Drosophila melanogaster: one gene and its partner. Changing the gene in region 1 together with any one later gene gives a genetic interaction. Each region holds a gene or a part of one and is shown in the gene's direction. Other genes may lie near its edges.

Evidence for each region.
Region 2: of raw (region 1) and Jra, changing one suppresses a phenotype caused by changing the other (phenotypic suppression), as found in Drosophila melanogaster (3 studies listed by BioGRID).

The regions. Positions count from the first base shown.
Region 1 is NT_033779.5:8,737,559-8,742,696, reverse strand, and holds the start of raw (raw), read left to right. Parts: upstream 1-2,036; 5' UTR 2,037-2,283; coding exon of another isoform or gene 2,284-2,312; intron 2,313-5,138.
Region 2 is NT_033778.4:10,094,274-10,099,113, forward strand, and holds Jra (Jun-related antigen), read left to right. Parts: upstream 1-2,206; 5' UTR 2,207-2,323; intron 2,324-2,654; exon of another isoform or gene 2,655-2,731; 5' UTR 2,732-2,865; intron 2,866-2,969; 5' UTR 2,970-2,993; coding exon 2,994-3,863; coding exon of another isoform or gene 3,864-4,112; 3' UTR 4,113-4,283; downstream 4,284-4,840. Other genes in the region: CG2269 (uncharacterized protein), read left to right, coding at 1-361, 423-705, 776-970; RpLP0-like (ribosomal protein LP0-like), read right to left, coding at 4,318-4,812.

The DNA.
Region 1 (5,138 bases):
ATTTGACAAGTGTTTTGACAATATTTATTTGAGTTGCTACAAGCCACGGCAACGGCCACGCCCACAGTCCCGCCCCCTGCGGCATACCACCCCCGCCTCCCTCTTCGCACACTAGAACCACTGCCGCTGGGTAATTTGATTTCCTCGACGCTGCCATCATCTGCATCCTTGACGTCGGACACGTTTCTGCCTAATGGAGTTGCTCGAGTGGCGTGAATTTCAATTAAATTAAATCAAAATGTTGCATTTTTTATTAAGCCCATTAGCGGCACACACGGAAAACCCGCCCCCTCAGAGGACCGCCCGCTGGCCCCTAGTTGGTTAAATTAAGTTAAGATACCACCTCGTCAGTGCGAAAAGAACTTGTATCTTAATGTGCATAATGAAGTGCCAGACTTGACTTGCCATCCAGGAACACCTGGATGTGCCAATATAAATCCGGTGACTGCACTGATCCTACTGCTGCGAGGAAAAGCTATCGGGAAAATCCCAGTTTAGATGAAAATGGGGCCATTCAATAACTGAATTGCTATTTTTGCTAGCAAAATGATTTTAAGGGATTTACTTATTCAATTCATAATTATTTATAAATAGCGAATTCTTAATTTATAGTTTTATATATACACACCTTTTAAATGATTTATGTAAGTTTCTTATTAATAGATATTTATTTACAAGAAAATGTTAAGGAAAAGGCTGCTGTTTTTCCGACTGTTTCTGCGAAAAGCCAAATATCAGTGCACAAGAAGAGTTGGTGGGCGAAGAAAAGTGGAAGTGGAGTTTCCTATTGTTGCACATGCATTAAGAGTAATGCTGCAGTGCTCGGAAAATGCTGGAAAGAGGGTGAAAATGCTACTTTGAGTGGCAATAAACAATGCATAATGAGTTGAGAGTCGCGTTATTATTGTTGCAGCCCGTGGCTGAGACTGTTCATTACTCAAACAGGTAATTTAAATTAAGCCAAAACAATACGCCAAGGTGGCATTTAAAGTAGGTGCAAAACGCATTTCGCCATTAGGAAATTGCCAATTAAGAAGCAAACACTTCTGGGTCCATTCATTACTGCAACACTTGCAGGCAAATCATTTAATTGTCTTTTAAAAATATACTTAAATCAGCAGAGGCGGCAAAGTATTACAAGTCTTCATGCACTTTCTCAGATATGACTAGCCACAAGCACTTAATTCTTGATATCACTTGGAAGTGGCACTTCCAAATCAAAATTATATACATTTAGTAAATAAGAACTATTCGAAAAGACATTTTTCATTTAAAAAGGGAACATTAAGATTTTACTAATTTTTCTATTATCTTAAAGAAAAAATTTTCTAATTTCCACATTCCGTATTTTGTTAATACAACATTTCATTAATAATAATGCAGATATACCCACGATGTCAGGATTTTAAAATAATCTTGAATAATTTGCAAAAGTTAGATCAGAGCAAATATAACATAGATTTAAATTTGTGATACTGTTACCTAACAGAATTTTACAATGTTATTGAAATGTTAATTTTAACACAAAAAAGTGCTCTTCTGCTAATTTTTACATGCACCCAAGACAACAACCATCGAATACAACTGAGTATACGTTCGTTAAAATTTTGGTGGCAACGCTTGTATTCCTAATCTATTAAGATGGCAAGGCTCGTTATCTGAAGAATTTACATTGGCAGCATCAAACATCATTAACTTTGAACTGTTATACAATGGTGCCAATGTAACTTTTTCTCGACAAATGAATTTTGTACTTATTTACCCAAGTGTATATGGAAACAATCAGGTACCGAAAATGTGAACTCTTACAATATATTTTACCTCTTTTTCATCTTAAGTTGTTTTTTTATAAAAGATATCAGCACTGCTGCAAAGACAGCATGCTTTAATATATAATATATATTAATTAAATAAGTTTCACAGTTTTTACGTGGTGTTAACCAACTTACAAAATTCACTCACAAATGTTAACATTCTGTACAAGCATTAGTGTTACCAAATACTCGATAGTATTTTCGCCGTTCCACCAGCTGGTCACACCAGAGACGAATTTAGAAATCTAAAGAGAACCCAACAGTTTCCTAATGCAAATACAATAAACTAATTGTTTAAAATGTGACAACAGTGAACCAAATGCTTGCTGAGTAATAAACCAAAGGATGTTTTGTTTTTTTCTAAAACGTGCCAAGTGAATCGGCTCCACGCAAATGAGAGTGCGGTCTGAAAACAATGGAGCTGCCGTAAAGAATTGATTAAACAAAATAGTCGAGAAGAGAGCGCAAAATGCACAAAATGGTTAAATTATTCCTCAGGTAATTTCAGTCCCAACAAAAACAGCATGTGCCAGATTGCTTTCGTGCTCTTATTGCTGTTGTTGTAGTTCTAGACTCTCTCTTTGCGCTTTAATATTATGAATGACGTAAGCGCGCCTCTTTGGTAGCAATACAAAAGCAATAACAACAATTTGGTTTTGTTGCTTTTGTAAACAAGGAAAATAACAGAATGGTTTTGTACCGCTCGCGTGTGTGTGTGCATAGGTGAGTGGGGAGCTCACTCACCTATGCACACACACACACAAACGCAGGTAAAAGTGGCGTCGTTGGATTTTTACTTGGAAAACGTGTTCGAACTATAAAGAGAAATAGTAAGAGAGAGCTGAGCAGTCTAGCGCTCTTTGCAATGTTATTTCTTTTTTTGGTCAATGACCTAAGCTTTTTCGTCCGTTAGTTGAATTCGTTTCTTTCGCCAATTTCCGTGCTTTTGTGTGCGAGTTAAAAAACTTGGTCTATTTTCACAAAAATCATTGTTTACACTTTGTTGATGTGTAGGTAATTTTCCCAGGCTTTCTTAGCCTCATTTTTCAAGAAAAGGAGTAAACACTAAGTTGGAGGCCAAAGTTGTGAATGGTAAAAAAAAAACGTAATTTTTAAAGAAATTTAAAAAAAAAACTGCCAGCAGTAAACAACGTACAAATCAAAAGAGAATAATTGAGAATACTATAATTAATAGTGTTGTATACATGAAATGTTCAAGAACTTTATTTCCCGAACACATAAAGCATGAAATGAGTCTTCATAGTGTTTCCTTATATCTCTGAAAACAAATAGTATATCACTCGATCATCCAATTGCCTTGCTGTTGTGACATCTTGACAGTAATTAAGTTTATGCACTCAATTGTCACAAAGCCGGAAACAAAAGTGCACAAAGATGTAACATGTTGGTACATTTTTTGCAATGACAACAGCACGCAAATTAGTAAACATTACCGGCCAAATAACAATGCACTGTTTGGAAAATAAAGTAAATATTATGAAATAAATATTATTGTTGTTATACAAAACAGAAAGCAATTACGGAGAAGCAGTAACTGCAGCACAGGTATATTTGCATTCGTGATAACTTTTTGGTAAATAAATTATCTAAGCAATAAAAATGTTTTAAACTTGTAGGATTTTATTTTGGCTTATAAACATAAATACACTTAAAAATAAGTTTTAGGTCGCTTGTTTCAGTTTGTTTCAGAATGTTTTAAGAGCACCGTATAAAATTTTCGAAATTTTCCACAATCTTGAACGGTACTTCTGCGTATTAAGATTAATTGTTTGGCCTTTTATCAGTCTATTTCACTGGAATAAATATTTAACTAGTACTCAGATTTTGTAGGGCACTCTATATGCGGTGTACTTTGCTGACCGAAAAAAAGAGAGATACAAATGTTGAGAATGCGAGGGAAAACGCTTTTGTGATCTTCTTGATTTAAAAATTTTAACGCCAGTGCTGACCGAGCAATTAAAATGTAAACAGGCGGGAAATGAATAAGCGTGCCAGGGAAAAATAAAATGAAATCCCAAAATATTTACAATCATGCAGCAGCAGTTGCACATAAAAACCCAGGAAGAGAAGAACGGAATCTTAACGTGTATGCTTTCGAAAATATACTTGTACCTTAAAATGGCAAATTGGCAATAAGAAACCGACGCGACATTAATATGGCTAGGTAAATACAAAGGCATCATTACCGAAGGTCGTTTTTGTTTGCGTGCGATAAACTTTTTTTCTTTCGACTTTATAGCAAATATTCACGCATACAAACAAACCCGAATGCTTCCCTGTGTTTGCGATTGGTATTATCTGTGTAGGCCTTTGTTATCCAACCATTTGCTTATCTGGGCACGGCTGTCAATGCGTGTGTTTGTGATGGATACTTGATTGAATTGTTGTCCGTATGTTAGCGCCTAAAAAACAATCGACAGCCGCTTATCAGCTGGCAGAAACATAAATAAAATTTCCTCAAACTGAAGCCGAAGGTAAAATGCTCTCTAAATCAATTGCTATTATTAAATAGTATTAGCTTAAGAAGCAAGAAGGTTACGTTTCAAGGGTATACAATAGTCGTTAGCCATGTCATCGTAAAGTCACTGCCCCTCCTCGCACACATTCAAACAGTTTGTCAATCAACCGACAATCGGTTGCCAATCAAACAACAAAAATTCGTGGGTGAGGTGAGTTCTAGATTTTCTTTGGTTAGAGGATGGGAAAATCTGTCTGAAAAGTGGGACAGCAATTGACTGACTAATCGAACACATTGTTTAAGTCAATTATTTCCATTTAAGCTACATGATTCGTTTCGAAAATATTTCACAGTATATGGATGTTTTGAATACTTAGTAAAAATATATAAAATTCGCAATACTTACTTTCAATGTATTTAAAATATCAATTGGATTGGACATAATTTACACTTGTTGCATTCCTTTAACCTTATCCACAAATTAACAAAGTCCAAATTGTTTTCCATTTGAAGTACAAATATTATTGTTTTGTATTTTGTTATCTTATCTAATTCTTCTGAAATGACAAGTTATCCAATAGCAAATATTTGATTACTACAAACTATATTGTAATTATGCAGTAATTTTGTTTTTCCCAACTAAAGATGTTAGGAAAATAGAAACAATCACAACTAGGAATCACTTTCTTATCTGCATCTTCTGTTGTGTTTTGTGTGTCAAGTATAAAAGTATCAACAATATGTTATCCCATTTTATCTCCTCCAATTAAATACCCAAAATAATGGCTACCATTGTTAGTACGTTCAAAAAGTGTAATCCGCGATTATCCGAAACCGCAATTAAA
Region 2 (4,840 bases), on another chromosome or scaffold:
CCGAGGCGGAGAAAAAGAAGCGTGACTTCGATGCCGAAAAGCTGGACAGCATGGACAAGAAGCTGCAGTCCATCGAGGACTTCATCATCGACGAGACCATCAAGTATACGGGTGCACACGAGGGACTCAACAGCAAGGACGACATCCGCAGAATCAAGGACCATGTCCTCTCGCGCTTGGCAACCGCTTACAGTCTGGAGAAAATGCGCAGGGCTCTGGATAAGTTAAGGAGATCAGTGGACAACGAGAGTCACCTGATGCGCAATACCATCGAACCGGAATCCGAGGAGAACGCGTTGGACTCCAATTACTGGTTGAACAAAAAGTCGGTGAAGAAGGAGCAGGCAGATCAACTGGCAGAGTAAATGAAAATGCCCTTAAATTTACATTATTTCGATGTGTTTATTTCTCAAATCCTCCAGAGACTCGAGACCACCCAAGGACATGGAAAAGAGGAAGCGCAGTGGTTACTTGCGCTATCCGGAGCAGCCAAATACCATGGAGGAGGCACTCAGCCTGGGCAGCGCTCCCTACGAGACCCTAAACGACGCCTATCTGGGCAACAAGAACTACATTGTGGGCTCCAACCAGTGCCCCATTATCGAGTCCATGGCGGAGCGCTGTCGGGGCGTCGATCTCATCTCCGGAGACATTAACCAGGAGCTCCTGCCCCTCTGCGGTGTTCACCAGATATGCTATCTATGTGTAAGTGAAAACAGGATGCCTGAGTCGAGTATGGTTAACTATAGTTTACCCATTGCATTTCCGTTTCCAGGGTGCCTCACAGGTAGCCTGCGACTATCAGTACTTGGCGGAGGCGGATAGCGTTTGCGGCGACAGCAACGACTGCCAGTCGGCGGCCCGTTCCATCCTGATGATCCTGCGGGGATCACACGGCCGGCAGCTGGGTCCTAGGGAGTGCTTGAAGAATCCCTGCTTGTACAGGGCCATGCGGGAGATTGGGCTTTAAGCGAACTGCTCCGAATTGCCGCCCAGTGTTTTCCTAACGTCTCTTTTGTGTGCGTTTAAAAAGAAAATCATAAATCGAAAATGAAAATGACAACCCCGCAATGCAAAGCAGAGAGAGAGAGAGAGAGAAGATAACAATATGAGCCCAAAAAACCAATATAAAAACCTTGCTGAACTGGCAAAAATCAAACAAACGATTGATTCAAAACCAAATAGTCGTCGCATACAATGACATAATATTTTGATGGATTTTCCTGACCGCCTCGCGAGGCGGCAGCAGCCAACTAGAGTTTACCAGATACCTAAAGAGATGCATATAGATATACATACAATTTGGATTCAGTTAATCGCAGTAGACGCCCGATGCGGCCCGATTTATTTGGTTTAAGTGTTCAGCGTAAAATGGAATTTTTCGAAACATATTTGCACGTTTTATGGGTGTTTAAGTGTACAAACGTGATCATAGACGAAACATAACACACATACATATGCTTAACCAAGACATACAAGTATTTAATCCACAGCCAGCTTTTTAAGTAACTCAACTCGCTTGACATTCTAAGCAAAATGAAAGGCAGAGCTCACATTGGCAGCTAGTCCTCCAAAGTCACCGTCAGAATTCTTCTATTCGGTTTGACTTGGATGTGTGCACATACATACGTGCGTGTGCCATACCATAATACACTATACACATTATACATATATAACGATTTTAGCCTACACCGGGAAAAAAACTATGTATCTTTGCGAACGCCAAATGCAGAGCAACTAACTATAGTATCTGAGACTTCTCTCTCCGCATTACTTGTCTACAGATGAACATATACATTAATGTGTTTCAACGTGCTTACAATAAATGGACATAACTAAGACAAATATTTGAAGCTCTAACAAATCTATAGATGTGATTATTAATATATACAAGGAGTTTAATAAATGTGTAAATCTTTTAGGGCCAGCATATATACCAATCTGAACAACAGCAAGACGTTTGGTTGCGAAATCAAAATATTATTAATGTATTTACATAAACGAACAAATATATATATTTAAACTTGATGTATATGCTACAGTTTGAAAAACAAAACAAAACAGAACAAAAACCCATATTTGAAAATATTTATTGCTATACAGTTATCATAAATGTCGAATATAAATATATCGGGAATATCCCAAAAACGTATGGCCTTTTTTCTCGGATGTTTTCAAATTATTTGCGAATGTTCCGAGTTAAGTGTCATATTTTGTTTCCCCTTTTCAATTGTAACTCGCAAAATCACAAAATCATGAGCATCAGTGTTTTCCTGGAGTTCCTGACATAATGGATCCGTCTGGACAGTTTGTGGTTCCCCAAGTGCGAAAACAATATCTTAACCAGACCGAAAAATATATTTCCTTTCCTATTTACCGACGCCCAGGAGTGATAAAGAGATCTATTGCATCTTCTTTTACTGCCAAACATCAAGAAAATTTCAAGAAAAACATGAAAGACTAGCGACGGCCTTGTTTCCATTCACCTTTCATAATGATTTAGTAAATGTTAAAAAAAACCTATATTGTATTTTATTAACTTAGCTACCGGTAATGGTTTGTGTCACTGCTAAGCTTCTTGCTTGAGTCAATGCTGCCCATTGTTTAAACATCGCATTTAAAGACCAGTATCGATAGCAATATCGAATAAATAATCGACACTTGTACCACCGCTAGCACTCATTCTGAAAACAACCTTGCGCGTAATAAATATTTTCGTAAAATTATTTAGCGAAACCAAAATAAAAATCAAACGATTCGTTGGCCGATAAAACCGGTGATTAAGCAGTGGCAGTGCAGAAAGCAGAAAACACAAAAGTACAGATTGTGCTAATCAAATTTTGCAAGCAAAGTTCCCACCCACTGGTGAGTAAGAAGAAGAGCGAGTTATTCGCATGACTCATCGCGAAACGAGTTTTTATCAGATTGTTTTCATTCCGTTTTCGTCTCTTTCACTTCATCCGAATCAGATTGACGTCATTGCTTGAGCAAACATGAAAACCCCCGTTTCCGCTGCTGCGAACTTAAGTATTCAGAATGCTGGCAGTTCCGGAGCAACTGCCATTCAGATCATACCTAAAACCGAGCCCGTTGGAGAAGAAGGCCCCATGTCACTGGACTTTCAGTCGCCGAACCTGAACACATCCACCCCGAATCCTAACAAGCGTCCCGGCTCGCTGGATCTGAACAGCAAGAGTGCCAAGAACAAGCGCATCTTCGCACCACTGGTCATCAACTCACCGGATCTGTCATCCAAGACGGTAAACACACCCGATTTGGAGAAGATCCTGCTATCCAACAATCTGATGCAAACACCGCAGCCGGGAAAGGTGTTCCCCACCAAGGCGGGGCCCGTCACCGTGGAGCAGTTGGACTTCGGCAGGGGATTCGAGGAGGCCTTACACAATCTTCACACTAACTCCCAGGCATTTCCGTCCGCCAATTCCGCCGCTAATTCCGCCGCCAATAACACAACTGCGGCAGCCATGACAGCGGTGAACAATGGCATCAGCGGAGGCACCTTCACCTACACCAACATGACCGAGGGCTTCTCGGTGATTAAGGACGAGCCCGTCAATCAAGCCAGCTCGCCCACCGTTAATCCCATTGACATGGAAGCGCAGGAGAAGATCAAGCTGGAGCGCAAGAGGCAGCGTAACCGTGTGGCTGCATCCAAGTGCCGCAAGCGCAAGTTGGAGCGCATCTCAAAGCTGGAGGATCGCGTGAAGGTACTTAAGGGCGAGAACGTCGACCTGGCTAGCATCGTGAAGAACCTCAAGGACCATGTGGCGCAGCTGAAGCAGCAGGTGATGGAGCACATTGCCGCGGGCTGCACGGTGCCGCCGAACTCGACAGACCAATAACATTTGGAGTTGTCAGCCGGGGAGAATGATGAGGAGGACGTGGCACTGGAGACTGAAACCCCCTCGAATCCTGAAGATCCCGAGCAACCCATGCCTCTGGAATTCTTTTCAAGTGCTAGCACCGGTGCCTTGGAGCTGGAGGGCTCGGCCTCTCAGGATATTTCCCTAACTAACAGCGAACTCCTGGAGGAGGAGAGCGATAACGAACAGCCTCTGGTGCTCTACATCCTCGCGGACGACGCAACCTGAGGCTTTGTGCCTTTCTTTGGTTTTAGCTGCAATATCTGAAATGCTTCTTAAGTGTTTTGTTTACTTAGTTATTAGTATAAGCTAGTGTTAATCAAGTATTATCTGTGTTGAACGTAAGATAATATGTAATGTACTTTTAAAATATACGTATATTTTCTGCACTTGATATATACATAAAAAAATTATTTCTACGCCTTAAACTTATTTATTCATCATCCTCCTCTTCGTCATCATCGTCGTCGTTGTCATCCATGGCCTCGGCCTCGGCCTCCTCTTCCATTGCGCTATCAGCCTGTTCCTCGTCGTTCACATCATCCTCGACATGCAGCTGGAAGCCTTCGCTTTTTGTCCACGAGCACTTCATGGTCAGCCGAAATTTGGCCATGGGCTTGCCCACCAGCTTGAGGATTCTCGCCTGTTCGGGTGTTAGAACTTTGCCCTCCTCACAAACCGTGTAGTCACTGTACAGCGTAACGATTCCCTTCTCCAATTTGGTGGGCAGGCCCAGGGAACGCAGATGCGGTTCCATAGAGTGGGCGAAGTCCTCTAGGGGACCTGCTGGCAGGGTAACCGTTTCCGTGGCCACAAAGCCACTGCGTGCGTATTCCACGGCCCAGTAGTTTTCTGCCCACTCCAGGACTTCCTCCTTGGATTTGTCCGTGAAAAGCAGTCCCACCTGGCCAGTTAATCGCTTGGATAGCTAATAGACATAGCCTGTGATTAGTGTC